Lonchura striata: one gene and its partners. The protein of the gene in region 3 purifies or fractionates together with the protein of the main gene of each other region. This does not show direct contact. Links are inferred from orthologs where the notes say so. Each region holds a gene or a part of one and is shown on either strand. Other genes may lie near its edges.

Region 1 (7,729 bases), on a different chromosome or scaffold from region 3:
CAAAATCCAGAGGTGACCCTCAACGTTTTTACTTGGTCTGACAAACTCAGCATGGTTGTGATTCTGTACCTGGTGGAGGTTGGGTATGTATTAAGAAATTATTTGGAGCATCCAAACATGATATTAAGGCAGAACCACGGCCTGAAGGAGTAAGATGCTTTCACAGAGCATCTGGAGGCCTTTGGGAGAGGAGCAGGTTAGATTTCACATTCTGGCTCCAAAATCTATCTTTGCCCTCACACTGAACAAATGCATCAAGTAGTATTCAGACAAGAATAATAAATGCCAAGTATCTCACTGTCCTACCTCTACCTGTGCCTCTCTGTAAAGTGTTATGTACTTTGAGTCACTGCTCTCCACAGACACAGTCCTTCCAGCAGAGAGAGCTGCACTGGCAATGCCACAAGCACATCTTGAATTTCTAGTCTTTCACACACCTGAAGAAGAAATAAATAAATCACTGCAAAGTGGAACATAGTATTTATTCCTTGTGGTGAAACCAGGACGTTTGACTAAGTTTAGCATTAAGCAGGTATATTCCTATAGCATCAGGATGGAAGAGTGTTGCAGGAAAATGAGCATCAAGGCACAGTTTTTAAGCTAAAAGCCCTGAAAGATACAAATGTATGCACTGACACATCCAGAGGCAGATAGTCATGAAGCCCTAAACCTGTTCATAGCCTAGCTACCAGTGTGCACTGCAAGAATAGCCTTAGACCTCAAGAGAGTTCAGAAACTACTACAGATGGCTTAATAGACCTGTAAGTATTTCAACTAAATTGCTAAATTCACATCCTTCTGCAGATTAGAGGAAAATCCCAAAATCTCCTATTTTTGTTGTTCCAAATCAATGTAGCTACTCAACAAAGCAGCCAATGGAAACTCTCTCAACTTCCTGCAATGACAACGAAGGCTGTTTCTACACATTTGGATGAAAAGTTTCCAAGTCCTCTGAAGACAAATGCTCCACCCTGCAATTCCTCTAAGGAAGCCACACAGACCGTGCCCTCTGAAGCCACACACACATCTACCCCTACTCTCATAGAAGTGCCATACTCCCATAGGGAGTAACAGACTGAACAGGGAGGCAGACCAAAGATCTCCCAGCACAGGAAAAACACCAGCATCCAGAGGCTGTGGGCTGAGCCAGTGCTGCAGTGCAATCCCCACAAATGCAAAGGCACAGGGTGCTCACACCTCACCATGATAAAGGAATGCCAGTGTTGCTGTGAGCAGAATGACCCACTGATCGCCTGGATTTCCGGGGCCTCAAGGAGAGCTCTCTAGTCGCCACCACAACCCAAAGCCAATTAACAGGAAGGACAAATGAAGCGCCAGTTGCAAGTCAGCGCAACACACGGGACAAGCGCCCTCAGCCTCAGGCAGCGTTTAGAGACAATCAGCCCCAACCCCACTGGCACCGGAGCAGAGCAGTTCACCTGCGGAGGTGGCTGGAAATAGTCTGTCCTCAGCAGAAGCCTGGGAGTGCAGGAGGGAGGGGAAAGAAAAGCACTGAAGTAAGAGCCAAAAGCAGCACTCACACAGCTCTGTTATTTCATCTCTTGCTCGTCCACCAACACATGGGCAGTATCTAAAGGAATCTGCACTTCGCTGGAAAATTGCTGGGCAGGCTTCTGAGTTCAGGAAGAGCCTGGAGGACAGCACTTCTGATTGGGCGTGCCACTCCCAGCTCCCACACCGAACCTCCGCAGCGCACAGCCTCCGCACAGCCGGGGCCCCGGAACCCTGTCCTGCTGCACACTCCCTGCGCTGGCACCTCTGCCGGGAGTTCTCTCATCCTTCCCCACGCCACTCCCAGCACCCAAACCAGCTCAATGCACGGAAGCAAATGGGCAGAGCACCCACGTACAGGGACTCCCGACGGCTGCCGGGGTCCTCTCAGGCGACGGCACCAACTCGCTGCCGCTTTCTCCGGTGGCCGGGACCAGCTAGGTGCCAGCGCAGCCCAGCTCTACCGCAGCCAACTTTCCGGGAAGCGGCTGTTTGAAAACCTCCCGTGGTCTTTGTTTGGTTGGGGCAGAGCCAGCAAGGGCTGCTGGGAAGGTCACCCAGGAGGACACCGACGTAGAGGCAGGGCGGGGCCCTCCTCGTAACCCTTTCGGGGCAGCCGCGCTCCGGGGCCGCCGGGAGCCGCGTCACCTCGGGGCACGGACCCGGCTGTACCGTCCCGGAGCACGGCCCAGGGGTGGCTGGTCACACCTGCGCAGAGGATGGAGGACAAGCCTCACGGGAGCAGCGCTGCCGTCCCTACAGGTGCCCTTCAGCCCTGGAAGCACCAGCTCGATCCCTGCGGGGGATGGTGGCCGTGCGGTGCCAGCCGGGCTGCTGGCAGAGCGCAGAGGCCACAGCTGGGCCATTCCTCTGAAACTGAAGCAGACGCGTGCTTTGAGCTATTCTCATCTCTGCCAGTGTTCCCACATGAGATGTTAAAATGTCTCTCCTCGTTCGGGCTTGGCTTAAAGGCTCAGTCCTGCCAGCTGCTGGCAGCCCCTGGAAGCAGATCACACCCCCCACACGCTGCCACCACCGTCCTGGCGCTCTCAAATCTTCAGGACCCTGCTTCAGCTAACAGCTAGCAGCAAGCCTTTTTTACAGTACTATTATTTTTCTGCTGGGTCAGTGACCTTACCTGCCCACGTCTGGGGGGGATGAGAGTTGTTATGAGAATAAGGGTGTGCAGGACTTTGGGATCAGTTAGCCTTTATGGCTTTGCTATAACTGAGAGAGGAAAAAATGTTAAACACTGTGAATGCAGATAGGTGGGCATTGGGCTCTGCTCCTAGCGAACACTGGACAGGATAAGAAGAAATGGCCTTAAGTTGCACTAAGGGTGGTTTCCTTTGGATATGTTGTAAGTACATATTATATTGTTGGCTTCTTGCAAATATTAAGATCAATGCTGTATGTATAATGTTAAAATAACTTTGCTTTTATTTCTGCTATTAACAAAAATTTAGACATAGTACTGATAGCTGATACAGTTATGAGTGAACTGTCTGTTCACTCAGGATAACATCCAATGAAGATGTCATGAGGACCCTACTACTGATATGCCAACTACCAGCATCTGCCATCTGAAGAAAATATGGACCAAAGCCCAAACTAGAAGTGACAAAGAGAACAGACCAAAACCACAGCCAAGAAACATTCATGCTCTAAAAAGGCGGACCCAAGGAGGGCCCATGCAAAATAGTTCCTGGAATTGTTTATGGGAAGGTAGTTTATGGGAAAATATGACTATGCATAAGAATCTATGAATATGCACTGAAAAGGTATTTAAGGGGTATCTCCAAAGATAACAGTGTGCTCTTGCCTGAATGCTAAGCACCTGGCCGTTTTTAACCCTTTACTTTATTTCTGTCTCCTGTCTTTTTATTAAACTTTTAATTAAACTTTTATTAAACTTTAAATTAAAATTTTACCAGGAAAGTGAACCTCATTTTTCACAGATATTAGGGAAATACTCCTTGCAGAATGGGTGGTCAGGCACTAGAAGAGGCTGCCCAGGATAGTGGTAGAATCACCATCTCTGGAAGTGTTCAAAAAAATATGTAGATGTGGCATCTGGGGACATAGTTTAGTGGTGGCCTTGGCAGCACTGTGGGAATGGCATTGGAATTAGACTCAATGATCTTAGAGGACTTTTCCAACCTAAATGATTCCATGATTCTAAGCTCATCATGACAGTCTACTAATAGTGCCCATTTGACATAATGCAGTTTCTCATCGAACCAATGTGAACTTTTAGTAGACTACAAAATTGCCTGTGAGAGAAATCTGCCCTTAAACAAGATGTTGTGGACAGAAGAACAACTTCCTTTTTGCTTTCTTGGGGTTTTGTTTGTTTTCTTGTTTACTGAACCTGTTCCATGCCAGGTTTTATGTAATACCCCTTGATTTTGCAGCAGAACGGAGAATAAGTCTGTTTTTCTTGTTGCCACACACGAATTTAAAGATACCTGCCCTGGTCTTGCTCATGTCCTGTGATGGAGGTAGACAGGACATATCCTTCCACTGCATTCAAGAGGTGAAGCTTCCATCATTAGGAATTTAACAAACATGCCTCTGGCCATACACATAAGCAGATCGACACACCTCTTAGAAAGATCTGTCACTTTTAAGGCCCTGTATTAGGGATGGGATCAAAATACACTTCTGGCTTTGTTCCTCTCAAGTCAAAAGTCAGGCAGCCAATGTGGTGACGTCAGAGGTTCAGTGTCTGCAGTGGCAAATTCCCTTTTAAGTTCACAGCAAACACATTTGGCAGGGATATCCGTCCCACATGACATGAAATGCCACTGTATGGTGCTCCATCTTAAGTCTTTCATTCTCCTCTTCCCAATTTTCTTGCAGTTGAGAGGGCAAATCCCCGCACAGTAGTGCCATCCCTACACCCGCCACCACCTCAAATCAGAGTCTGTGCGCTGTGTGAGCCTGAGGCAGCGTGGGCCAGAATTCACGTGTGGGGGCTGCAGCCTACTGGGTTGTTAAGCTTTTAAAACCCAGAGCTGAAGCCCAAGCTGCTACTGTCATTACCACGGCTATGCAGGACAGGGTTTGCAAGAACCTTTACGTCAGCGGCGGGGGCAGCAGCAGCCGCCCCGCCACCCCGCTCCTGCTCGCTTGAAGCCCGTCCGCCCGCCCCGCCCCCGCTGTGACGCCATCACCGCGCGCGGCGCCGCTCCTTCCCGCCCGTCGCGTCAATCTCGCGCGACGAGCGCGGAGCGGCGGCGGGGCCGAGGATGTGAGTGCGGGGCGGGGGCTGCACCATCCGCGTCCATCCGGCCGGGCCGTGGCCCGACCGGCCCCTCCGCCGCGCGGGGCACCGGGGGGAGTGCGCTGGGGCTGCCGAGAGGCGATGGTGGCGCGAGGGTCGGGGATGGGGTCTCGGAGCCGTGGCCAGAGGCGGGGAGGGCAGGGGAGGGAGAGCCGGGGCGGGGCCGGCCGTGGAACCGGGCCCGAGTGTCGGCGGTGCCGCGGCCTGGCCTACGGGGAGGAGCGTTGTGCAGGCCCGAGGGACGGGTTGCTGTGCTGATCTCGCGGGCCCTGCCCCACGGGCGCCATACCGCACCCACGGCGGGCGGATCTGGCTGCCCCGCGCTTCGCCGGCCGCACAGCTGGGCCGAACGGCCGTAGTGGACAGAGAAGTGCCGGGCGCCGAACCCTCTTCACACCTGGAATTCTGCCGGTTTGCAGCTGAAGACCTGGAGCAAACTGTCAGTAAAGAACTCGCCTATAGCCTTAAGGGAAGCCTGAGGGCAGCGACTTTACTTCTTTTGCAGAGAACTGCTGCTCTGAGTGTGCAGATTCTGTCTCTAAAGCAGAAGTATGTGTGAGATGGGTTTGTGTAGATTGCAATTTAGACTTTCTGTTGTAGGGTGGATGCCCCTAAACCAGCTATTTTTTAGACAGTGAGAGGTTTTTGATTATAAAGATGAAGCATATAGTTTAGAGATGCAATGTTATTTAGCCTCGTGTGAGGACTGTGATTTATTCTTTCCTCATTTTCCAGTGAATGTCTGAACTTGTGCAGGTGAAAATGCCCTTGTGTAGGGTGAGGTTTCCAACTAAAGTGAGTATGGTCAGGGGCATTCCTGAGAAAGGATTAAAACCACTGGTTAGTTTGGAGACTGCTTTAATGTAGCATCATTTGGTGAATATTCCAAAGCTATGTGGCTGATCTGCCTGCTAAGTGCCTGTTCTAAGGAGCAGTAAGCAGGGAATCCTGAAAGGAGATTGTAGCCAGGTTGGGGTCAGGCTCTTCTCCCAGGCAATGGGCAACAGAACAAGAGGACACAGTCTTAAGATGCACTGGGAGGTTTTGATCAGACATTAGGAAGACTGTCTTCACAGAAAGGGCAGTTGGGCCCCTGGAAGGGGATGCCCAGGGAGGTTGTGGAGTCACCATCCCTGGAGGTGCTTATGGAAAGACTGGATGCAGCACTGAGTGCTCTGGTCTAGTTGACATGGTGGTGTTGGGTCAGAGATTGGACTTAATGGTCTCAGGTCTGTTCCAATGTAATTGATTCTGTGATTCTATTTCCTGCCTCAGCAGCAGGCTGGGTAACAGCAAACATGCTGGTCTTTATCTGTGTTTCCGTTTCCCTTCTCCCAGAAGGGGTAAACCAGATCTGACTCTTGAACACTAGCAGATAGTTTTGTATGCTGATAACATTATGACTTTGATAGTCCACAGGTGCAGGAGGAACTGATGTGTAGGCAGAGATAAACCAAACTTGGCTATGGGGTATTTAGAAGAAGAAAAATGGGCTATGGGTAACCTACTTGCAGCCTTCAGTACCTGAAATGAACCTATAAGAAAGATGGAGTGAGACATTTTACAAGGGCCAGGAGAAGGGGGAATGGCTTCTCACTGACGGAGGGCAGGTTTATGTTAGAGATTAGAAGAAAATTCTTCCCTGTGAGGGTGGTGAGGTCCTGACCCAGGATGCTCAGAGCAGCCCCATCCCTTGAAGTGTTCAAGGCCAGGTTGGAGCAACTTGGTGTAGCAAAGACCATAGTTGGGGGGTTGAAAAGTGATGAGTTTTAAGGTTTATGCCTTCCCAAACCAGTCAGCGATTCTGTGATTTTATGAAAGGAAAAATCTTAGGTTCCTGGTTTCACAAGACCAGAAAACCTGTCTGTTTTGTACCACCCAGCTGGGCTCATGCAGTGGCTTTACAATCTGTATGCCCCTCAGAGCTTGCACTGGAGAGGCACGGAGCTGGATAGAAATATCCTAAAGCTGAGTGATATACACAGGTTTGCTTGTCTTGGATCCCTTTGCGATGCTTGTGGGACAGTCCATAACTGCTTTCTTCCTGCCGCTGGTGCTAGAGGAGGCATTTCCTTTCCCAGCAGCTTCTGCCAGTGGCACATCTGTGGTGTGGGTTTCTTGTCCTCCATGTAGAAAGGCCATGGGTGTTTCTTGGTTTCTGCAGGGAGCTGGGTTTGTGAATAGTCATTTGTGTTGTTTCTTGCAGTTGGTGTATTAGGGAAAACTGTGAAGCTGAAAATCAGGAAAGCAAGTTTGGCTGTTCAGAAGTAATCTCTTCCCAACCATGCATTTAATTGCAATTCAGAGAATAAAGTAATTGCTGATCAGAAGCACAGAAGGAAAAAGATTGTTTGATGCTGTGAGCTGGTGAAGTTTTTTTCTTGTTCACTGAGTTTGCCTGTGATGTACATGGGGATGGAGATGTTTCCAATATCCCACATTACAGTGCATATTTGGTGCTGCTGCAGATAAGGCTGGCAGCTCCAACAAGCTTCTACTCATTCCCGGGATGTTTAATTCTTTGGTAGTTGGGAGTGTCACATTCCTTTAAAGGTTATTAAAATGTTAGAGGCAGATCTGTATCACAGGTTTTAAATGATCCCCATGGAATAATCAAAATGCTGCATGTTTATAGATGTTGCAGATTTTGTGATGGATGCAGCCTCATATGGTAGACATCTGGAAGTCAACTAATGCCCAGCATTTCAGTGCTAAATAGAGAGGTGTTAAATCTGTCTCCTTTTGGAGCTAGGGCAAAGAGGGAACTGGTTCTCTTAATCCAGGAGTTAGAAGTGAGATGTGAGACATGGGGCCCATTCTGTTGCTATGGATATCTCGGAAGGGGAAAAGGAGTTACTAGGATTGAAAAAGAAGAGGTTGCTAGAACTTTTTCTAAAGTGTCTGGAATTGCCTAATGCTTTAACTCCTCAG
Region 2 (7,685 bases), on a different chromosome or scaffold from region 3:
AACCATATTCAAAACCCTACTTCAACCAACAAAATAAATGATGAGCCAAGATAGCTGTAATAATCTAAGACATTAAGCAACCAATGAAGCTACAGATATTTCTGTCTTACTCAAATGATGTTAAAACACTAGCACTAGCAAAACTGCTCCTGTAGGTGGCCTGAAAAGTAGAATCCATGTCAGTTATGTGAACAATGCACATGATGCTGCTTGTGAAGTATTTTCAGAGTACTTTTTAAATTACATTTTATACTATAATGGTAACTCTTCAACATAATCTTTGATCCACAACAGCTTGTGTGCAGTATCTTTTAAATCACAAGCTACTTTATATGGCAGAACTCAAAAGTTAGTTTAAAAAAGATTGCTGCATACCTTTGTTTTCCTTTTTCATCCATATTTTGATCTTGTATAAGGTCTCGACGTGTTCGCTCTTTGGAGGTAGCAACAACAGAAGATGGCAACGCTGGCTACAAGAATGAAAAACAAACTACTTTGTTGATCGTGTTGCAGGTACGTTTCTGCTTGCACAGCTCCATTTACTATATATTACCTTTTTAATATCATCATCCTCTGCGTCGCTTTCTTGGCGTGATTCTCTTCTTGTCCGACGCTCTCCACCCAGCCTGAGGAAGAAAGCCAGTGGTCATTAGAGAACATGTGTTTAGGAGAGAATCTCTTTCAGCATGAGAAAAATACAAGCATGTCTAGTCAGAAGAACCAACACTTCGGTGAAAATCTCCCCACTGTTCCAACAACCAGTAAGTAACATTTTACAGACAGAATCTATTATTGCTGAAAATCAATTAGACAGACAGTTTAAATTTTAATACAAATTGCTGAGTAATAAGAACAGAAGAACCTGCAAACATCATATTTGACTTCTTAAAATACACTTGTAATTCATTCTTTTAAATGTTTGTGCTTTTCCAGAAATCTCTAAAATGGCGACTGGTATAAAGGGATCACTAGACAGACTTCAATGCATTGACATGGAAAGGTTGGTATAATTTCTTAAACAGGAAATGCTGTTCAAGTTACCTACCAAATACCTATTGGAGAGAGGCAGAGGGCTTACCACTTAAGGCATGAATGAACTAAGGCTTTAACAAAGAACAACTTAAAATAAATAATTTAAATAAAATAAATCCTAAAATAAATCATTAAAGTTGAAGTTGTTTTCAGCTTTGTAAGCACAGCATTACTGTCCTGCTTCCCAGCTTCATTTTCTGCTAACTCAAAAATTCCAAAGTAAGCTTTACTTTGGTCAAGAACTACCACTACACATTAAGTGCCCACAGCACTTGAGTTCACTATTATCAATCACATCTGATGGATTTGCAACCAGATGTGAAAGCCCAAAACCCAAGTCCATGGTCATATTGCCTATACTCAATTTATTCAACAGGTCTCAGTCATAATTCAATTTTTGCTCACTGTAAACAAATGTCATAACTAAAAAGAATGTAATATAGCAGAATGTACACCAAATAAAACAAAAAAATTACAGATATCTTTGTATTGCTACATCTTTATATTATTGCTACCACCTTTATGCTGCTCTAAGGTATGAAAAAGATTTCACCACGTGATTTGCTGTCACCCAAATTATTCCCAACAAGTCTTCAGTAAGCAATCTCCAAAGAAGACAGTGAATGTCCCCAGTTATTTCCAGTTTTTGGTTTACTGTTACAAATTCTCATTCTGAAAAGCAAGTAGGCTGCATTAGTTTTTGCACTCACCTACTGGATGCACCTTCAAGATCCCTCTGTTTGGCTGGGGGTCCTCCTCCACTATCCGAGAATCCACGCCTAAAAACAAAACGCTTGCGGTCTTAGAACAAGTTTAGGTTAATCCCTGGAGCACTTCAAGTGTGCACAATTTAACTAAAATTTTGCTTTATGGTCATGATTAAACATAAACTTTACTCAGCTCTATCACTATTTACTGTTAGCACCGCAGTGAAATGTTCTAACACACTGCTTGTGAACCATGTAATTTAACCTTGAATTTCTGCACTTATTTAACTGAGTAGCTCTGCTGTAACAAGCATCCTATCGTGTTCAAACAATCTTACCTGCACTAATTTTCAGGATGTGTTTTTATCCACATATGTTTTAAAATCCTTCTTAGAGCACCTACCAGTTTTTTAACCAGCAAGAGACTGATTTTGAACGATTTCAAAGACAAGGTCCCAGCCACCACACAACACCTCCCTTTATTTTGACGTTTCCCCTTATTTTTCAGCCTAACGGCTGAGAAGGTGGGGGAAAACCACCCATTTAGGCTTGTAGCAACTCAAAATGAAAAGGCGCTTTAAACTTAACCTCCGAAGCCCTGTAGGGCAGCTCTGGCGCTCACTCAAACAGTACCGCAGCGATGAGCGGAAGCAAACGAGGAACGCGCTCACGAGCCACTGCCAGGGAAAGGATGGATGAAACTCCACTGTCCGCTCCGCGCCTCCTTACCTTAGCAATAAGCTCCCACGCCCTCTACCTCCACCGGGGCCTGCGAGGGCTAACAGCCTGTTCTGAGGGGGCCTGAAAGAGACGGTAAGCGCTGTTAGCGGTGCCAGCCCGGCCCCGGGGCGCTGCTGCCCGCCCGGCCCAACGGGCCTGCGGCCGTTCCGCCCCAGCCCCGCGGGACAGAGCTGCCCGATCCCGCACCAGCGGGGCGGGCACGGCCCGCACAGGGACGCGGGACCCGCGGCCGGCTCCGCGCCGCCCGCCCCGCAGGCCCGACGCGCGCCCGCCCCCCCCACCGCCGCCCGGCCCTTCCTTCGCGGTACCGCGGCGCGCCCGGTGCTCCCCGCCTCACCTCACATCATTGGGGTCCCGGCCCGTGAGCTTGCGGATATTCTCGTCCACGTGCTTGAGGCTTTCCTTGGCTTTCTCCAACTGCTCCTGCAGAGCGCGCACCGCCACCGCCATCCCGCCCGCCGCGCGGCCTGGCCGGGCCCCGCGCGAGGCAGCGCTGGGAAACAGGGGGAACAGGCCCCGCCCACTCCGGCGGCCGCGGGCCCGCACGGCGCAGCCAATCGCGCCCCGGGGGCCCCCTCCGACCGCCAATCACCGGGCGCGACAGGAACGGGCACGCCCCCCAGGTGGCTCGCCAGAAGCGGTGCCCAATCACAGAGCCCAGGGGCAGACTGGCATCCCGGCCGCCCAACTGGGGAAGGCTCTACTCGACGGATACTAAAGGAACCGCCGGAGTGACGTGGCATAGGACTAATAAGAACTCAAACGTCACTTCCTTGTAGCCCAATCAGAAAACCACTTCGAGGCCGCTTGTTCCCACCCACCCGGGGCGCATCCTGCTTTCCCACTCTCGATGGGGCCGAGACGCCGGCACGCTCGGGACTCAGGCGAGGGCCAATCACCGCTGCGCTACCAGAGGCGCCTGTGCCCGGCGAGCCAATAGACGGGGCTGTTACTCGACGCTGGCTGAGGGGGCGGCCTGACGGGCGGCGCGTGCCGGGGTCGCTCCTGCCCTCGCATCCCGCCGGAGCGGCGTGGCAGGGAAGCTCCGCAGTGCGCGTCAGCCGTGGCGCCCGGGGCGGCGGCGAGGCTTTAAACCACGCTTTTCCCCGGCTGCAGCCGACGTCGCTCTGGGGCTCCCCGCGGCGGGCAGGGGAACGCACGGGCGCTGTCTAGGAGGCGGCGACACACGGGCGCCCCGCCTGGCTCCAGCACTAGGGTGGGCGGGGCAGCTCCGCAGGAGGGGCGCGTTTGATCCCCGGCTGCCGGCAGCGCCCGAGTCCGCAGACTCTGCAGAGCCTTAACCGAGAGCCCCTTTCCCAGAGCTCCGGCTCACAGTGCTGGGCCGCCCCGCCTCGGCCGGGAGCTCCCGCGGCTGGCCGGCCCGCCCGGAAGGGGCGGCGGCCCCGGCGATGGCGGACGAGGCGCTGTTCCTGCTGCTGCACGGCGAGATGGTGGCGGGCATGTACCGCGCCGCCGAGCAGGGCGAAGGGGTGAGTGGGGCCGGGGCCGCCGGGGCCGCCCGGCGGTGGCCGCGGCTGACGCTGCGGCCGCGGCGCCTTGTGTCTTGCAGGAGAACGGGCGCTGCACCACCAAGCTGGAGAGCATGGGCTTCCGCGTCGGACAGGGGCTCATCGAGAGGTGAGTGCCAGCCCTGGCAGCCGCTGCTCCTTCTCGGGGCTTTCGCCTCGCCGGTAAAGCACACCTCCGGGCAAAGTGTGGTGGTTTGGCTGGGCGGAGAGCGCGTTCCTCTAACCATCAGTTGTTCTGGCATCTCCTCTTTTTGTATCTCATTCTTGTGGGGACCTGTGCCTGTGTATCATGAGACAGTTTTGGAGTGTATTGTTTTCCTAGTGCTTCCCGTCATGGAAACCGAGTCAGGGTACATGGTTACTTTTAGTACTTAAAATTATCTTTAATTCTACTTTGTTTTGTATGTTTCCTGCTTCTGGTACTTCTAGTTCCTGCTTCATTATTTTTCTGATTTACTTCTTAAGTATAATTTTATGATTGGCTATTACTCTTATTTAGTTTTCGTAAAGTGCTCTCAGCGCTTGCGACTCCGCGACTGAGCAGGTCGGGCTCTTTGGGGACCGGCGCCCTCGTTCCGAGGTCGTGTGGAGACTCTCGAGTTTCTGAAGTCGTGCTTTTCTTAAATAAAGTGGTCCTTTACTGCCAGATAAAGACCCTCAAGGAGGATAAAGGGAGAGAAGTCTGAAATAAGCAAGAGAAAGAAGTCCCTCCTGAAAAATGGGAACAAGTTTTATATGCTTGTTCCTATGTTAGAGCTGTTTTGCCTAATTGAAGGACTTCTTCCAATAAGTAGTATAGGTGTGAGCATTTTGTTTATCTTCTGTTTTGATACCTTGTTGAAGATAAAACTGATGGAGCACTTTCCACCTTTCTGTATGTCAACTATGTTTGATAATTATGGAATTAAAACAATATATTCTGCTATCATATTGCAGATACTAAGATAACACTTTGTTGCTCAAGTTAAAATATTTGATGAATGGACAGTGAGGGTAGAATGGTACTACACGATGGCTGGAAAACTAATTTCTATAATAACCTCAAAAATTATGTATAGTACCATTAAAAATTATTTCTATGTTAAATTGGTCAGGTTATGTATACCACTCAGTGTTATCTCACTTTTCTCTTAGGTTTACAAAAGACACTGCCAGGTTCAAGGATGAATTAGATATTATGAAGTTCATTTGCAAAGATTTTTGGACAACGGTATTCAAGAAACAAATAGATAACCTAAGGACTAATCACCAGGTATTAATGCTGAAGATTAAGATTTAATGTAGAAAATTGGTGAGAGTTTTGAGTTGCTAGTGCATTTTTTGTTTTGCTTGGTCAGAAGTAATTACCAGATGAGAAATCCAAAATGTTCCATATTTGTTTTGTTTAAAAAGTGTGTTTTTCAATATTCATATTATCATGTAGCTTTAGAATACAATTTAGTAATTGCCTTTATAATGTCTTTATTGCCTCCCTGTTTGAAAAGACTAAATGCTTTGAATTTCATATGCACTGTTGCAGTGTGACAGAAAGGACAGTAATGATTACAATTGATGAACATTTAAACAAGAACTTTTAAATCTGTCTCTTAATAAATGTTAGTAGAAAAATAGTGAAAAAGTGATGTTACTCTCTTAGCATTTATTTAAATAGAATAGCTGCAGTGAATTGACTTTTTTACTTTGAAGAATGTTAAGAGTTTTCAGCAGTTGAGACAGTTGTAATCTATTGAAAATACTTGTATAAGAAGCAGTGGAGAAACTTCTCAGATTTGCCTGTTGGTGACATTGTACTGTATCCATGTGCTTTCCTATATCAACAGCCAGAGTTCTTAAAGACAGATCAAAATAACTTAAGGAGCCATTTTACTAGACTAAAAAATCTTTTTCCTAATTGAATTACTTGGTTTTCTTACAGCCATTTCCCTGTTGTGTCAAATTGGGAAGAAAAGGATTTGTACAAGGATTGTGATGAATATATAGGTTTTATTTTACATGGACTTAATCACGTAATAAGAGATAATTATTACTTTAGAAATCTGGGGATTTAGTTCAAAAAAGCTGTAGTATTGAGCTTAAGGTCTTAATTGTATATGCAGCCTTATTTTAAGTTCAAGGCTTGTGAAATTCCGAAGTAGCACATTAGCAAGGAAATTAATATGACCGGTGTAGATAAAGCTATACTGAGTTTATACTTAATTTATTAAGATGCCTATTGTTGCACAAAATTGTATTGTAGAAAACACCAGACCTTTACTTTGATTGTCTGCTGGGTGTTGTTGCCTGTACTGCTATTAAGTAATACCCCACTGAATTTGAGAATAAGAATAGAGATGTGCAAAACCCAATGAAGATGAAGATTTGAATGTAAAACCAGTATGCATTTGATATATTACCAGAGACTTTGTAATATAGAACTATTTTTTTCTGATCACTGGAAGTACTCTTCCAAGAAGAAATGTACATAAACATTTTTTAGGGTTAACTGATCATGTTATTATCTAGAGTTTTTTTGTATATTCACAATTAAGAATATTTTATTTTGATATTCCTTGCAAGTAAATAATGCAATTTAAACTTAAATCACATATGACTTAATCTAAAATTTTATTTTTCAACCTTATATATTTTATCTACAAATCAAATCCATTCACAGAAAATGTGGGGTTTATATTACTGCACATTTAATTAAACCTCTCAATTTTCTCTTTTTAAACAGGGTATTTATGTCCTTCAAGACAATAAATTCCGTCTCTTGACACAAATGTCTGCAGGAAAGCAGTATTTAGAGCATGCACCAAAGGTACCCTTGGATTTTATGTGGGGCAGGGTCTACCAGTTTCATTTTAATTACCTTGATCTATTAATAACTTTAAATTTTGTAATTAAATAGATACAAATTCTTCTAAAGAGCACCTAAAGATATGCTTTCAGAGCCTGTGTGCTTTTTACAAAGGCACCCTGTTTTAGAACAGTGGAGTTGATTTATAGTTTGAAAAATGGTCATAGTTGTTGTGCAACTTGCTGCTGTTACACTTGAGTTACTTCATGGTGCAGGTGCTTGTCTGCCACTACCTGCCAGTGTCACACAGATTCTTTCTCTTTGGGAAGCATGTTTTCAGAAACCTTTAAAATTCCCAAAACATATTTGGATGATGCTATTTGTTACATAAAACAAGCCTCTGATATTATGTGAACATTCAGAAAGATCTACCAATTAAAAATAGTTTTGAGTGCAGATACTGAGTTATGGTAATAGCTCTGTATAACCTATCATAGAGTACTTTAGTTCAGGTGGATTAAAAAATGAGACATTAAGTTCTGTTTTATGGTTTCTTAATTCTTGATCTTAGTCTCCCAACTGGCTGCTGTCTTTGGGATTTTTTTTGTGTGTTTGGTGAAATATTTATTCTGTTTTGCAACACATATTTTAAATATCTGCAGGTGCTTGTATTCTAAGGTATGGCCTGCACAAGAATGCTGTCTTGGACTGTTTTTTCTTACCAGTTGCTAATTTTAGCCAAATCTTGGGAATAATTGTTTTAAGGATATTAAGTTCCTACAGGCTTAATGGAAAGAGAAGGTGACTCAGAATACTGCCTCTAATGAGAACAATCTGTGTAGTAAGCTCCACTCTACCAAATATTGGAGGTTTCATCTATTAGAGACCTGACAAAGT
Region 3 (7,314 bases):
TGCTTGTTAGCTGACAAGTCTGGTGTGGTTACGGTGATGTGCGTGTGGGCGGCCCCTGCTTTAGGCTGCCCCCCTCCCCCCACGAATGTGCTTGCAGAGATGACAGATTTCATGCTAATCCACATTTATCCTGCCCTAATTACGCTGCGGGAGGTGAGGAGTGAGCACCCAGACTTCCATGCCAGGGGCTGGCATGTGCCCACCCCTGTCCAGTGCTGCCTGACGCTGCTAGCTGGGACTGGTACTGGCACCGTGCCCACCGCCACGGCACCAGGGACAGGCAGGTGACCTGTCAGGGTGGCATCTTGCATGGCACCTGGCACCCCTGCCGCAGCTGGGGGGTGCCTTAGAGGGGCTACCTGGACACCCGCAGGTGGGCACTGGGTGGCGGCACCCTGAGGTGCTGTGTGGCTGGGTTTGGTTGGTGCAGCCCCGGGCTGAGCTGTGGGCAGGTGAAGCCGTGCCAAGCGGTGCCAAGCGGTGCCAAGCCACCTCGTGCCATGCCCATCCGCCACGGCTGCGGCAGAGCAGCCGGCGTCCCATCCCGGCAACGCGCCGTGCACACACAGCACTTTAAATGTTTTATTTGGGGAAAGTGCTGTCGTTAGCGGGGATTAATTATTAAAATCGGAGCCATCTATAAAACATGAGTGGCCGCACGCGGGGCTGCGGGTGCACAGGCAGAGCCGGGCACGGTCCCGCCACCGGCATCGCCCGGGGACCTGCTGCGACGGCGGTGATGCCGCAATGGCACCTCCACCGCAGGTTTGGGCTCCTGGTGGCAAAGCGGGTGCAGGCAGCCAGTGCCACGGGGTGGGGGCTGGACTGGAGATGGGCAAAATTGTGCTAAATCAGTGTTTGGGTGAGGCGGGGGTCTCCGGTGCCAGCCGTCCCGGTGAGAGGTGGCAGGAGGCAGCAGGCAGCGCCGAGCTGTTTTTAGCGGCTGCCGGTGCTGGGGAGCGGGCGTGAAGAGCAGCCGCGGCACCGACGTGCCATTTTTAGAAACCGGCAAGTTTTGCTAATGATGCCTGTGAGCGGCGGGGGGGCCGCACCCCGGCACCCCCAGTCCTGCTGCCCGCAGCCGGCCCCGCAGCCAGCCCTGTCCTCTGCCCTCCCCGCCCGGGGCCAGATCCTGCAACTGGGGCACAGCCCGGGGCACCCCTGCACCCACTTGAGGCTCTGCTGGCCCCCAGAGAGCTTTGATAGTACTTGGGGAGCTTCAGGGGCCCCTGGGAAGCTTTGGTAGCCCCTGAGGACCTTCCTTGGTCTCTGAGGAGCTTTGGTGGCCTTTGGGGAGCTTTGGTGGTCCCTGGGAATCTCTGTTGTCCTCTGGGGAAATCTGCTGATCCCCAGAGGAGCTTTGCAGGCACCTGGGGAGCTCTGCTGTCCTCCAGGAAGCTTTTCTTTACCCCAGAGCCTTCCAAATTATATGACACATCTTTTTCTTCTTTCTCTGTCCCTGAGACAGCACTGGACCTCAGCTGGGGAGGCTCACCCCATCCCAGCACCCACTCAGGACCAGTCCCAGCCATGTCCCAATCCTGGTCTTGATCGTGGTCCTGGTCCTTTCCCCTGGGGACAGTTCTCTCCCTGAGCTCTCGCCCTGAACAGCCTCCCTGCATCTTGGTCCCTATGGCTGCAGGTACTGCCAGAGGCCCAGGGGACCCAGAAGGTCTTTCAGTGGGAGGGGGAATCAAACCTTGATGCCATGTCATCACTGTAATGCTGGAGTACACTGTGGAAAACAAGCCCCTTTTCCCCATCAAGGTTCCAGGGACGAGAGCCAGCCCTGGATGTGACAGGGACCAAGCCAGTGGAAAGGTACAAGGCTTTTTGTACTGTCATCGACACAGGGACAGCCCACATCAGGAGCAGGCTGGCCAGGGACAAGCAGCCACAGTCAGTCGTGCCCAGCCAGGTGTGGGCAACCCTGTCCTCACACACAGTGTGGTCACCAACTGGGATGGGCTGGCGGGGCTGCGGCACTGTGGGGGACAAAGTACCTGGTGGCAAAGCTGAGTGGCTCTCTGGCTGTGTCCCTTGACGCCTTCCAGGGCACATGGGTGCCATGGGACACCTGTGGGGAGGGCAGCTCTGCCACTGTGCGCCCCCATTGCTGCTCATCCCATTAAAGGGCCAGGGGTGGCGAGCAGCAGCTGCACCGCCTCTTTTTCTCTCCCCCTTGCTCCCCACCGGCCCCCCGAAAGAAGGGATGGGGTTTATTTGGCCCCGTTGCCGGGCCGACGTGCGCAATTATCGCTGATTGCCTGGCGGTTGCCATGGCGATGGCAAGCACGCAGGGATGCGGTGCCGCGTGGTGCTTGAGTCACGGACACGCTGAACACCCCCCACTGCACCCCACTGCACCCCACCGCAGACACGCCGAACATGCATCCCACTGCACCCCAGAACAAACATGCTGAGCACCCCCCGCTGCACCCCACTGCACCCCCCAGCACCCTCTGGGCTGGCCCTCCATCCCCTTCACCCTCCTGGGGCAGGGGGATACAGCAGCTGTCCCCCAGCTGAAGCAGGGCAGTATGTCCAGGTGTCCCCCACCCCCTGTCCCCCATCTGAGGCAGGGCTGTACAGCCAGGTGCCCCCAGCCCTGGCAGCCCCACCTTGGGCATCCCAGGCTCGCTCTCTCCAGAGGCGCTGCAGGAAAAATCACCCCAGGGCAGCCATGGCACCCCACACGCAGCTCTGGGGTGTAGTGGGAAGGGGGTGGGTGCATGGGGCAGCGGGACACGGCACTGTAAGGACAAATGCCATTGGGGTCAGCAAAGCTCATCACCCCAAAATGGGGCATGGAGTGGACCAAGATCTGAGTCAGAGTCAGGACCAGGAGGGGATCACAGCACAGTGATGGGACCCTGTGGCAGTCCTGCCACAGGCAGGAGACTGGTGCCAGGAGGTGATAGGCACGAGCCGGGGTCAAGGGACAATGGAGAAGTGCCACCACATCCCTCATGCTGCAAGCCATCACTGGGCAGCCCCGAGCCACACGGGTGCCTGCCGGGTAATTATGGCTTACGCTCTGGGTCCCCGCGAGGTGCAGAGATTAATAACTGTGGTGCGCTGCTGCCAGCCAGTATGATTAAACTCTTGATTAGAAGCTCAAACTACAGTGCCCTGCTAATTCCCCCTGCTCTCACACACCCTTAATCACCCAGCACAGGCGGTGATAGGCCTGGGGCTGGCAGGGCTCGATGCCACACAGGGGACGGGTGCTGGGAGCACCCCAGCTCTCCCTTGGAGTGCTGGCTGGTCTCCAGTGAGCAGAGGGGTGAGGCTGGCTTTGGGACCCTGGTGTCCCCTATCCATGGGCGGGAGAGGGCTGTAGGTCCCGTGAGTGGATGGCCACACCCTGTGGCAGCTGAGGACCTCAGGAGGTGTGGGGAGCTGGGGTCTGGTGGGTGCAGGGGCGGGAGGGGAGGGAAGTGGGGGTGCAGTTTGGAAGCAGCACCATATGGGCAGCAAATGCCAGTGTGTGGCACGCAGCCCTTGGGGAGGCTCCGTACACGTGGCTGCACTGTGTGAGGAGTGAGGGGTGAGGGGGCCCGGGAAGGGACTGGTGCCCTGTTGTGCCCTGGGGACTGTGCTGCCCACCCCAGGCTGGGTCCCGTGTCTGGGATGTGGGCAGAGGTAAGAGAATCAGGGTGGCCGATTTCTTGTCCCTTTCTTGTTCCTTGCCCCATGCTGTGGTACAAGGACAAACCCTGTTATAGGCAAGTGAGTAGAGCCTTCGGCCCTGCCCCTGGAGGAGAAGTTGCCTGGTTCCCACTGGATAACAGCACAGAGGCAGGAACATGTGTCTACCGTGTCCTCACGGCACCTTTTAGTGCCCTCAGGGGGCAGATACCTGTGACGCTGAGCCCACGCTCAGCTTTGCTAAAATCCTGCTCCCATCCCATCCCGCCCCGTCCCGTCCCGTCTCGGGCCGGGCCGGGCCGGGGGCCATAGCACAGCCCAGGGGATCCCGGCTCCCCCCATAGGGCACACTGTGGGGTCCCGTGGGGTCTCTGGTCCCACGGTGTCCCGGGCCCCCGGGCAGTGGCGGTGTCCCAGCTCGGTGCAAGCGCCGGGCCTCGCCCACGGCGGTGCGGTGGGTGCCAGCGCCACGCGTGACCCGTCCCCACGGGCGGGGCGCGAAGTTTGGCGGTGACGTCAGGGCGGGGCGGGGCGTGCGGGGGGCGTGGCCCCGCGGTCCCGCCCCCCCAACTTGCCGCGCCGGGCGCGCGGGGCCGCGCCGCACGGACCGACGGCAGGGCTGGGATCGGCTGGGATCGCTGGGACCGGCGGGGATCGGCTCGGCTCGGCCCGGCTCGGCCCCGGCCCGGCGCGGGAGGGCGGGCGGGAGGGGCGCGCTCCCCCCGAGCAGCGGCCCCGGGCCGCGGCCCCCCGTTGCGGTCGGAGAGGCGTGCAGGTGAGCGCCGCGCCGCGCCGGACCGGGGGCGAGGGGGGCCGGGCCCGGCGGGGGGGGGCGTTGCTGGCATCTGTCACTGTCTGGCCTGGGGCTGACCCCAGCTCTCCTCCCAGACCCCGGTGGCCCGGGACGTCCCGACGGGGCCGCGCGTATCCCTGTCCGGTGCGTGCGCGCCCCGACGGCTGCCCGCCGCCGCACTGCCCCCGCCGGCACCCCGCGTCCCGCAGACCCCGAGCCCCGACGGACGCCGTGGGCACGGCGAGCTGCCGGAGCCCGGCTCCCCCCGCGCCTCCCCGCTCGCCCCCCCGGGCCGCTGCTGCCCTGGTGCCGCCCCCGTCTCCGCGAGGAGCCCGGAGAACCGGGCCGGCACCGCTGGAACGGATGCTGCCGGGGAGCCTCTCCCCGTGCCCCCACCGCCGAGCATCCCCTCCCGGACCCCGCACCTCTCTCTCCCGCAGTCCGCTCCCTTCCCGCTGCCGCAGCGCTCCGAGCCGGCCAAACGCAGACCTCCCTGCGGTGCGCGGCCCGGGCTGTCCCTCCGCACACCCCGGGCCGGGGGCGGTGGCACTCCCCCAGCCCTGTCTCAGCCCCAGCCCGGCGGCTCCGCGGGCAGCGCTGGGCCGGCCGGCCCCTCCGCCTCCCCTCCGCCTCCCGCTGCCTGCACTAGCAATATTTCGGTCCGTCTTAGCCCGGCTGCGTTTTCTGCCTCTCCCCGGTACATCCTTCCCCCGGGACGTGGGGGCGGGATGGCAGGGGGAACCCCCCACGGACATGTCCAGGGCAGCTGCAGGTGGAAGCGGGGCAGGAGATGAAACACCAGCCAGTGGCACCTCACGCCGTGGGGCAGAGCTGGGGGTCGGGGGTTGGGGGGCCCCGCTGGCGAGGGCTGCACGGCTGCGTCATCCCTCCGTGCCATCCCCACCCGGCCACCCACTTCCCCGCTATTGTCTTACACCCGCTGTTGCTTCTGCTCCCAAATTAGACTCTTGGAGGGGGGTGCTGGCTGCGTGCGGGTGCCAGTGCAGCACCGAGCCTTCCCCCTGGCACCCCGGGGAGGGAGCACTCATCCCTTTGCCCACCTCTCACCTGGGTGCCCCTGCCCCGGTGGGGGTGCTCTCACCTATGGGGTGCAGGTGTTGACCCCGATGGTGGGCTGGGTGCCAGCCTCCCTTGCAGGGTATCCCAGGTGCACTGAGCCCCTCGAAGACAGCCTGGGGCAGGGGAGGGTGGCAACGCTCAGCCCTGGCAGGATGGGTGGCCACTAAACCAACGGGAACTAATTTTATGAGCGCAGATTAGCTGAGTGCTCTCATAGACAGCAATAAAATCCCAATATATCATCCCACCCGGGTCCCCTTCCCGGCTAATCCTGGCACCATGCTGCCAGTGCTGGCAGCCTGCCCATCCGCCAACCAGCCCTACCCCTGATGATCTGTGGCACTGAGCCCACCGCCCCTCCAGCAGCTGCCAGGACAGCCCTCATTCCCCTTAGCCAGGTAGAGTGGCACGGCAGAGCCGGTGTCGTGTGGCATGGGGACACAGAGGTGCCAGGCAGAGCATATTTGCTGGGAGAGATGCTGGGATGAGTCAGGTGTAGGCTGAAAAACCTCATCCAATCTAGGGCACAAGCAGTGGTGTCCCATGGGTGCTCTTCTTCTCTTTTGGGACTTGGTGCACGCTGAGCAGGATTAGGCAGGTGCTCTTACTCAGTGCAGGCTTTCCTGGCAGGACGGTGCCTGGGTGCCTTGCAAGCTGGGAGCATCCATCCTGTGGGCATTGCTCCAGCAGACACAGAGACAGGTCAGCCCCAAAGGATGGAGGCAGGAAGGAGCATCCCCCCATTCCCTGGCTCACTGCACTCATGTCCCACCCAGGTTTGGGTCAATCACCCCAGGGAGCACTTAAGTGCATGCCCTGGGTGCTGCAGGCAGCACGCCTTCCTCCCAGGGCCTGCACGGCAGGGACGGGGCTGTGCACCTGCAGGTGGGTCGGGTGCTGCCGGGTGCTGCCCGTCCCTGCCCCCTCCAAAGGATGTGCCGCTTTCTGCATCTTCAGCTCCCATTGCCATAGCAACAGGCTCGGCGCTTGGGTACCCGCGATGCCGGCTCCCGCATCCCGCATCCCGCAGCCATCCTGCCCGCAGCCCTCGCCACCGGGCCCCGGGCGCTGCCGGTATGGCACAGCCAGGCCCGTGCAGCACAGCGTGGTGTCCGGGGAGCCTTAGCGCTGGGCAATGGGTGCCTCCAGCATCGTGCCACCTTCCCATCACAAGGTCCCACTCAGGCCCATCCGAGAGGGTTGGGGGCCCCAGGCAGCTCTGTCATCTTCTGAGCCATCAAAACATAATGTCAGCTGAAACTTCCTCCCGCTAACACGGTGGGAAAGTGTTTCCCAGCGGGAAAGGGGAAGAAATTACTTTCTGTGATCAATTTTTTTTTTTCTGGGAAGCTTCCAAGAAGGATCTGGTTTTGAAGAGTTCCCAACAGGGAAACAAGGGGCAAAGCATCCTTCCTAAAGGGCTGGAGAAGCTGGCATCTGCCAAGGCTGGTGTCCTGACCGCTGCCCGTGGCAGGAGGGCTGGCACCTCCGAGCTGCAGTGCCACCTGCCTGGTGCCACAGTCAGGGCTGGTTGGGGATGGCAAGCTGAGGCTGGTGTAACCCACTGCACATGTGACAACGTGTGACAATGCTCTGCCTGGGGAGGCCCCATCTGCTGAAATGTTACCGTGGGCAAGACGGGGCTGAGAAACAGGAAAGGATCCGTTCACCTCCGCTTGCCTCCCCAGTGGGTGCTCCAGGCACTGTGCTAACCCTGACTGCTAATTAATCATTAATAATTCACAAACAGGGCCCAGAGGGGGAAGCTTGTGGCTGTGCTGGCAGCCTGA
Region 4 (7,930 bases), on a different chromosome or scaffold from region 3:
CGTGCTTCAGCAGCACAGCACTATCTTGCCCACCTCTGTGCTGGTAAATCATCTCTCTCCACCATCTCCACTGACCTCTAACCATGCCAGGAGGTCCAGGGCAGCTGGCACAAAAACCACTTTGACTTGCAGGGAATCAGAAGGGCGTTTTAATGGCTTAATTGCAATCATGTTCTGAGGCATCAGAGCTGGGGGCACTCAACAGCTTATCTCAGGAGAGCAATTCTCCCTTCCTTGGTCTTTCATCCTCCTGCCAAGGCCTCTGCTGTTCCCCAGCACTATTTGCAGGAACTAGCCAGGCAAGGAAAACAGGAGCCCGGAGCGATTCATTCCCTGAGCTCAGCTCAGCTCGCTCCCCATCTCTGATGTTATCAGCCTCAAATGTCGTGTGTCGCTCTGGGCACCTTCAATATCCTCACCCAGCCAGGAAAAGCTGCAGCAGCCACTGAGTCCAACCAAGGCTCCTCATGCTGCACAGTCAAGTCTGCAGCAGAAAATTCTGGGGATACATCTCACCCCCCTGAGAGGATGGCAAACTTGCCTCTGAGGATGCTCAATGGACTCTCTTTTACCACAGGTGTTTTGGTTCCATGGGATGCTACAGGATTAGCAGCCTGCTGTCTCCTTGGAGCAGTCTCCTGCTGTTAGCTCTGACAGAGATGATGGTTATGAAAAGGTAAAAACAATTCCTGAGCTGAAGCTGTGCTGAGCCACTGCTGGAAGAGGCAGATCCCAGCCCCACATTCCTCTGCTCGTTCCTCCAGGCCATGTCCACAGCCCAGACAAACAGGGCCCAGTCTTCAAGCCCTGCTCCCTGGGAGAGAAGATACCTCAAATCCAGCTGACCTTCCCCAAGGGCCAGACACTCCCGAGTCCCAGCCGTGGCCAGAGCAGGCAGGAGAGGTTCCCCCGAAGGAGGAGGATGTTCCCATTTTCTGTGACTGCTCCGCCTTTGCTTCCACCGCTTCCAGGCGGCTGCAGCCCCGAGGGGAACGCAATGTTCAGCTGCACAGCTCTGTGCAGTGCCTGGAACACAGACCTGCCTCCCTGACCGTGCTGAAACTTCAGCACTGAGCCCAGAGCTCAGGGCCAGCTCCCCAGGTCACGGGGGTCCTGAACCCTGCTTCAGGGGCAAGACCAGCGCTCGCCCACCCTCAGTGCCGCCTGAGCACCCCACAGGGGTGTGGGAGCAGCACCGGGAGATCTCAGAGCTCCTGTGAGGCCTTCAGGCATGGAGGGGCACTGAGGAGACTCGGCAGCCTCTTCCTGAGCCCAAAGGTGCTCCCACTCACACCTCCAACAGAACCTGCCCCCAAAAAAACTCAACACTCTGAAATCTCTCAGCCACCCTTCTGAGTGACCCACAGCTGGATTCCAGGTTGCTGCTTCTGGCTCTTCCCATATGACAGGTCCCTCCTGCTTTGTCCCCACCACAAAGCTCTATCACGCCACAGTCCCATTCCAGGGGCCCACCCTGCCTGTCCCCTTCCCGGGGTCACCCTGTCCCCCTGCATCCCCCCTATGCCACAGCCCTGCTCTTGCCCCCAGGGCTTGACCCGAGCTGGCCCCAGCCCCCTGGAACCTGCCCTGCAGGTACTGGTCCTCCCCTCACCCCCATGCGGGCCAGGGCTGTACCCCAGTACAGACCCCTCTCTCCCCAGCACCCAAACCCTTCCCTCCCCACCCAAACTGGACCAGCAGCCCCCTGGGGCATACCTGCCACCCCCAGCCCCCTCGCCAGTCCCCCTCTCTGCCACTGCATGGGGACAAGCCCCACTTCCCAGTTAAACTGATCCATCAAACTGAGTCAGTTCCAGCCTTCCAGCACAGCCCCACACCTGTGGGGCCGCTCCTCCCACAGCCGGGGCACGGTCGTGTCCCCCCACGACCAAAGGCTGCTCCCCACAACCGAGGGGTGCTCCCTATGGCCAAGGGGTGCTCCCCATGACCAAAGGCTGCTCCCCACAACCAGAGGCTGCTCCCTATGGCCGGGGGCTGCTGCTCCCCACAGCCGAGGGGTGCTCCCCACGACCAAAGGCTGCTCCCCAAAGCTGAGGGTACTCCCCACAGCCGGGGGCTGCTGCTCCCCACAACCGAGGGGTGCTCCCTATAGCCGAGGGCTGCTCCCCATGACCAAAGGCTGCTCCCCACAACCAGAGGCTGCTCCCTATGGCCGGGGGCTGCTGCTCCCCACAACCAAAGGCTGCTGCTCCCCACGACCAAAGGCTGCTCCCCAAAGCTGAGGGTGCTCCCCACAGCCGGGGGCTGCTCCCCATGGCCGAGGGGTGCTCCCCACAGCTGGGGGCTACTGCTCCCCACAACCAAAGGCTGCTCCCCAAAGCTGAGGGTGCTCCCCACAACCGGGGTCTGCTCCCCACAGCCGGGGGCTGCTCCCCACGGCCGAGGGCTGCTCCCCACAACCAAAGGCTGCTGCTCCCCACGGCCGGGGGCTGCTCCCCACGGCCGGGGGCTCCTGCTCCCCACGGCCGGGGTCTGCTCCCCACGGCCGGGGTCTGCTCCCCACAGCCGGGGGCTGCTCCCCACGGCCGGGGTCTGCTCCCCACGGCCGGGGGCTGCTCCCCACAACCAAAGGCTGCTCCCCACGGCCGGGGGCTGCTCCCCGCCCGGAGCGGAGGCTGCATGCCCCGCCAGGGGCCAGTCCCGCCGCAGACCGGGCGCTCGCCCCGCTCCCCCTGCAGCTCGGGCTGCTCGCCCCCGCCGGGAGGAGGCTGCTCCCCGCGCCCAGCACAGCCCGTGCCCCTGCGGCACAGCGCTCCGCCGGCAGCCGGGGCTGCACCCCGAGCCAGCCCCCGGTCCCGGCCCCGCTACCTTCTTGGGGGCCTTGGTGACGGTGGCCATGAAGGAATATTTCTCGGCGTCCTCCACCTCCTTGGCCTGCTTCTCCTCGCCGCCGGCGGGCTCCGGCACCGACATCCTGGTGCGGCGGGGAACGCGGGGCGGGCCGCGGCCGCCGGCGGGACCAAACGGGGCACGGGCCGGCGGAGGGGCCGGGAGCACTGCGGGCTCGGCTCGCCTCTGGCCCGGCTGGGTTTGGTTTTGTTCGGTTCGGTTCGGCTCGGCTCAGCCCGGCTATGGCTCTAGCTCGGCTCAGCCCGGCCCGGCTCGCCTCTGGCTCTGGCTTGGCTCGGCCCGGCTCTGGCTCAGGCTCTGGCTCTAGCTCTGGCTCGGTTCGGCTCGGCTCGGCTCGCCCGGCCGGTCCCGCTCGGTCGCTCGCTGCCGCCGGCGCGCTGCCTGCGGCGGGTCTGCGGCCGGCGCGCCAGGGGCGGGGCCTCCTGACGTCACCGCGCCGTGACGTCATCCGCCGGGCTGCCGAGGCCGCGCGGCGCCGCCGGGGGAGCGGGCGAGGGGCGGGGCGCCCCCTGGCGGACACGGAGGGGAGGGCGCTGAGGGGCGGGAACGAGGGCGGGGCCAACGGGGGCGTGGTCACTCAGGGGGCGTGGTCACTCAGGGGGCGTGGTCACGGTGAGGGGCGTGGTTATTGTGATGGGCGTGGTCACTCAGGGGGGCGTGGTCAGGAACCTCAGCGCGGGCCAAATCCCAATTAACCACAATAATTATATAACATAAATAAAATTGCATATAAATTTCTATAATATATCATATAATATGTACTATTATGTAGTGCATATAATTATATAATTAATATGTAATTAATATATAATTCATATATAATTAATTCATCATTAATTCATTATCTAATTAATAAATAATTATATATGCATATAATTAGTTTTTTAGTTAAAATAGTTTTTAATTAGTTTTTAAATTAAAACTAATTAAATTCCTTACTTAGACTAAATGAAAAAATTATTAAGATTAATTTTATGCATTAAATAGCAACCACATAAATTAAATATTAATTATATATAAATGTGCAAAATATGTTAATTTATTTATATCTATAAGTTATGTATATTTACATTTCTAAGTTATTATAAAGCTATAAAATTTCTATACATTAATTTTATGCATATATATATGGTGTGCATGAATTTATATTAAATTACTGAATTATATAAGCGTATTACATAAATTATATTAATTTATATACAATTTTTCTAAATAAGTATAGACACTAAAAGAGCTGTGGGTGCCCATCCCCAGGTCCCGAGCTGTGGGTGCCCATCCCCAGGTCCCGAGCTCTGGGTGCCCATCCCCAGGTCCCGAGCTGTGGGTGCCCATCCCCAGGTCCCGAGCTCTGGGTGCCCATCCCCAGGTCCCGGAGCTGTGGGTGTCCATCCCCAGGTCCTGGAGGTGTGGGTGCCCATCCCCAGGTCCCGAGCTGTGGGTGCCCATCCCCGGGTCCCGAGCTCTGGGTGTCCATCCCCAGGTGTGTGTCCGGTCCCGGAGCTCTGGGTGCCCATCCCCAGGTCCCGGAGGTGTGGGTGCCCATCCCCGGGTCCCGGAGGTGTGGGTGCCCATCCCCAGGTGTGTGTCCGGTCCCGGAGCTCTGGGTGTCCATCCCCAGGTCCCGAGCTGTGGGTGCCCATCCCAGCGGTGTTAACCCCCGCGGTGCCAGCCCCCCGGGCTCGGGGCAGCGCCTCCCGGCCCTCGTTACCCATTAACGAGCCGAGCGGAGCCACCGGGGCTCGGAATCACCCGCCCACATCCCCAGCCCAGCGTGGGGGTGCTGAGCACTTTTTGGGAGTGCTGAGCCTGGCCGGGGCTTCCTCCCGCACTCCTGCTGCTCACCGCCCCGCAGCGGGCTCTGCCGGCTCCTGCGCTCCCGGGAGGGTCACAGCCAGCCTGTCCCCGGGGCCAGGGACACTGAGGGGCCGCATCCGCATCCCGGAGCGCTCCCGGCTCCGCAGAGTCCCACACGGGCTCTAGGGGCCATTCCAGGACAGACAGACAGGCGGGGGGCTCTGAGCCCGGACCACCCCATCCCCAAACGCCCCCCAGCAGCAGGGAGGGCTCTGAGCCCTGTTCGCCTTCACTTCCCCGGGGCTGCTCCCTTAAAATACAACCTGGGGAAAAAAAAATCAGCGTGTGGGTTAAAATCCCCAGGGGAAAGAGCAGATAACGGTTTTTAACCAAAACCGCTTTGTCTGGCCACAAAATGGGCCTCTGGCCACCTAAATCCTGCAGCAGTTCCTCGGCCAAAACCCTGTCCCGGAGCCGCCGTGCCCCGGGAACCGCGGCCCCGGGGCCTTTCCGCTGCTTCTGCCCCGTCAGCAGCTCTGCGGTGCCCGCGGCGGCTCTGGGGAGGCTTCCAGGGTGGGCAGAGCTCTCTGGGGGCTCTTGGGAGGGGTCTCAGGACATCTGGGGGGGTCTCCGAGTGCCTGGGAGGTTTCGGGAGAACGGGATGAGCCTGAGAGATGTCCCAGCCCTGCCAATGCCACAAGCAGCAGGGCTGTGGGGACCCCCAGGACCCCCGGGGGGGGGGTGCTGGTGACCATAGTCACTCCATGCCAGCCCATGCTTCAGGTCCCCTGAGCCTCTTGTCAATGCTTTCCCCTCCCACCATCCATCTTTTCCCCCAAACTCCCTGTTCTCATCCCATCAAAGCACCTTTTTGCAGTACAAACCCATCTGGGACCCCCGGAGGGACCCCCGAGTGCCCCACTCAATCCTGGGATGGGGGGTTCTTTTCTCCCCTCCCCTTCAGGTGCTGAGGGACAGGGATGTAGCTCCATGGGATTCCTGAGTGGGGGGCTGAGAGCAGGTTTTGCCCCCCAGATTGCAGGGGCTGGGGGTGGAAGGTGCCCGGGGCAGGGAATCACATCCCTGCTCCCACACAGGGTGGGGAAAAGGCACCAGCTGGGAACATGAGGAGCACAGGGACCCTCCTGGCCCGAACCTGAGGGCAGGGAGACAGTTTGGCTTTTTTCCTGCATTTTCCAGATGCTTTTACAGCACACAGAGCAGCCAGAAAAAGTCAGGGATGAGCAACTGCGAGGTGTAAGCACAGAGGGGTGGGCACTGGTGGTCCCCACACCGCCCAGCAAACTGGGATGCTCCCAGCTCTGCCCCCCAGCTCTGCCCCCCAGCTCTGCCTTAGCTTCAAGCTGCCTTCATCCAGCTCCAGCCACCCTCTCCTGTGCAGCTGTGGAGCTGCCTGGTGTATCCTGGTGCACCCTGGAGCACCCTGGAGCATCCTGGAGCAGGCCAGGGACTCGCTGCCCTCAGCACCCCCAAACCCGGGCACGGTGCCCACCCCTAAGAGCAGCCTCCGGCCTCAAATACCCCCCAAATCTGACCATAATGACCGTGGCACGGATCCAGCAGGATATATATAGGTCCCACTTCCCTGGGAAGGGGATGTGGACCTGGGAAACCCCCGGCTGCTGTTGGGGAGAGGAAGGGCTGGGCTGAGTCAGCTCCCCTCGAGGAATCCTGGTTGTCAGCAAACAAGGCAGCAGCTCAGCCCTGGCACTCACAGAAAGCTCCTAGACCCCTCCTGCCCTTGCCCCCCCCTCGGATGAGCAGGGGGGGTGTTCACCCTGCACACCCCATGGGCTGGTAGGGACCCAGGGTGATGGGGAGCCCCCTGGCATCCCCCTGGAGACGCTGGATCAGGGTATGGGGCTGCCCTGCTCCTGGAAAGAAGGAAAGAAAGCAGGGGGAGCGATGTGGGGGGAGGAAATGCCTCTTCCAGTGCTGTCACTCTAAGCAAAGTGCTCCAGGAAACTTTGCCTCAAGTGTCTTTGTTTTAAACAGCTGCTTCCCAACCATTCACACAGATTTTGGGGGGCCACAGCACCAGAGCCGGTGCCTGGAGCTCTCAGCGGTGCCGGCAGAGCTGGGGCAGGAAGGGCAGATGAATCCCTCTGCCCTCATTGCAGTGGCCACGAACTCCCACACGCATCCCCAGGGAAGCAGGTCAGGGTAAAACCACCAGGACTCAGCCCCAGTCACCCCCTCAGGGACCCCAGGGATGTGACAGGGCAGCCACAATCTCCAGTCCCCCCTTGCATCCCAGACTTACACCAAGCTACACATCTCTGTTTATTAATAATATTAAATATACAAGTTGTTTTCCATTATTTTCTTTAAATAGACTTTTAAATGCCTTTGTATAAAATATTTCAGGATTTCATTGTATAAAAAAAAAAAAAAAAAGACATCCCAAAACCAACAAAAAGCCCCAACCAAACAACAACAACAACAAAAAAAAAAAAGGCAAAATAAATCCAACACGGGTAAAGGCAAGTTTTCTCCCCCAGGAGCAGCTCCTCCACAGTGTAAACTGGTGACTTACACCACCAGGAGTTTGGCCCCAGACTTCCTGCTGCATCAGGGCTTTTATCCTGATTTACACCAGTCCCTCGCCCAGGAACCCCCTCCTTCTGCCAGTCATAAATACACACACACATATATATATACATATATATATAACCCCAAATTAATAGTGATGCTTTCTTTAAAAACAGTCGGGTTTGTCCATATTTTCATCCTTCATATAAAAATAATGCTTGAAACTCCCAGAGCAGCGTGGGCCACGCTTCATCCAGGGCTGGAGGGAGCCGTTGGATTTTGGGGCATCTCCAGGGCTGGTGCATCCCAAACCAGGCTCTTCCCAAAGCCCGGGAGCGGGGCAGTGCCAAGAAGCCCCAGGGTGCCCAGCGGGGGCACTTCCAGCTCTTACACCCACGTGGATCCCATCCTTGCCAGCCCCATTCCCTTCTCCAAAGCGCAGCCACCAAAGAAATGGAATCCCAGCGAGGCCAGCTCGCGGCGAGGACCCCGTGAGGGGCACACGGCCCCCCAGAACATTTGTGCAGGATAAAGACTTTCATCCATTCTATGAAAAAAAACAAATGATCCCTAACAACAGGAGGATGGGGAGGGACTGGGATGGTGCCAAGGGTCACCCCAAACCCAGCCCCGTGCAGGGACACGGGCACGGGTGGGCTTTAAATATTCACAGTGTGAGGGTTTGAGTTGCAAGTCAGGGCTGGGGGTCTCA

The links.
Region 1: the proteins of CAMKV (region 3) and RNPS1 purify together in Homo sapiens (affinity purification with mass spectrometry; 3 studies listed by BioGRID and IntAct, counting the BioPlex papers as one, with this or other methods). This does not show direct contact. The link is inferred for Lonchura striata from reciprocal best matches to the Homo sapiens genes CAMKV and RNPS1.
Region 2: the proteins of CAMKV (region 3) and PNN purify together in Homo sapiens (affinity purification with mass spectrometry; 3 studies listed by BioGRID and IntAct, counting the BioPlex papers as one, with this or other methods). This does not show direct contact. The link is inferred for Lonchura striata from reciprocal best matches to the Homo sapiens genes CAMKV and PNN.
Region 4: the proteins of CAMKV (region 3) and AHCYL1 purify together in Homo sapiens (affinity purification with mass spectrometry; 3 studies listed by BioGRID and IntAct, counting the BioPlex papers as one, with this or other methods). This does not show direct contact. The link is inferred for Lonchura striata from reciprocal best matches to the Homo sapiens genes CAMKV and AHCYL1.

The regions. Positions count from the first base shown.
Region 1 is NC_134618.1:1,871,265-1,878,993, reverse strand, and holds the start of RNPS1 (RNA-binding protein with serine-rich domain 1), read left to right. Parts: upstream 1-4,716; 5' UTR 4,717-4,763; coding exon 4,764-4,765; intron 4,766-7,729. UniProt on the Homo sapiens protein: Part of pre- and post-splicing multiprotein mRNP complexes. Auxiliary component of the splicing-dependent multiprotein exon junction complex (EJC) deposited at splice junction on mRNAs.
Region 2 is NC_134608.1:23,809,295-23,816,979, forward strand, and holds the start of PNN (pinin), read right to left. Parts: upstream 3,008-7,685; 5' UTR 2,931-3,007; coding exon 2,818-2,930; intron 2,541-2,817; coding exon 2,469-2,540; intron 1,812-2,468; coding exon 1,743-1,811; intron 627-1,742; coding exon 554-626; intron 471-553; coding exon 376-470; intron 1-375. Other genes in the region: TRAPPC6B (trafficking protein particle complex subunit 6B), read left to right, coding at 3,890-3,970, 4,051-4,118, 5,144-5,261, 6,726-6,809. UniProt on the Homo sapiens protein: Transcriptional activator binding to the E-box 1 core sequence of the E-cadherin promoter gene; the core-binding sequence is 5'CAGGTG-3'. Capable of reversing CTBP1-mediated transcription repression.
Region 3 is NC_134614.1:7,446,865-7,454,178, reverse strand, and holds the start of CAMKV (caM kinase-like vesicle-associated protein), read left to right. Parts: upstream 1-4,308; 5' UTR 4,309-4,426; intron 4,427-4,869; exon of another isoform or gene 4,870-4,964; intron 4,965-7,314. UniProt on the Homo sapiens protein: Does not appear to have detectable kinase activity.
Region 4 is NC_134632.1:1,192,491-1,200,420, reverse strand, and holds the start of AHCYL1 (S-adenosylhomocysteine hydrolase-like protein 1), read right to left. Parts: upstream 3,014-7,930; 5' UTR 2,935-3,013; coding exon 2,830-2,934; intron 1-2,829. UniProt on the Homo sapiens protein: Multifaceted cellular regulator which coordinates several essential cellular functions including regulation of epithelial HCO3(-) and fluid secretion, mRNA processing and DNA replication.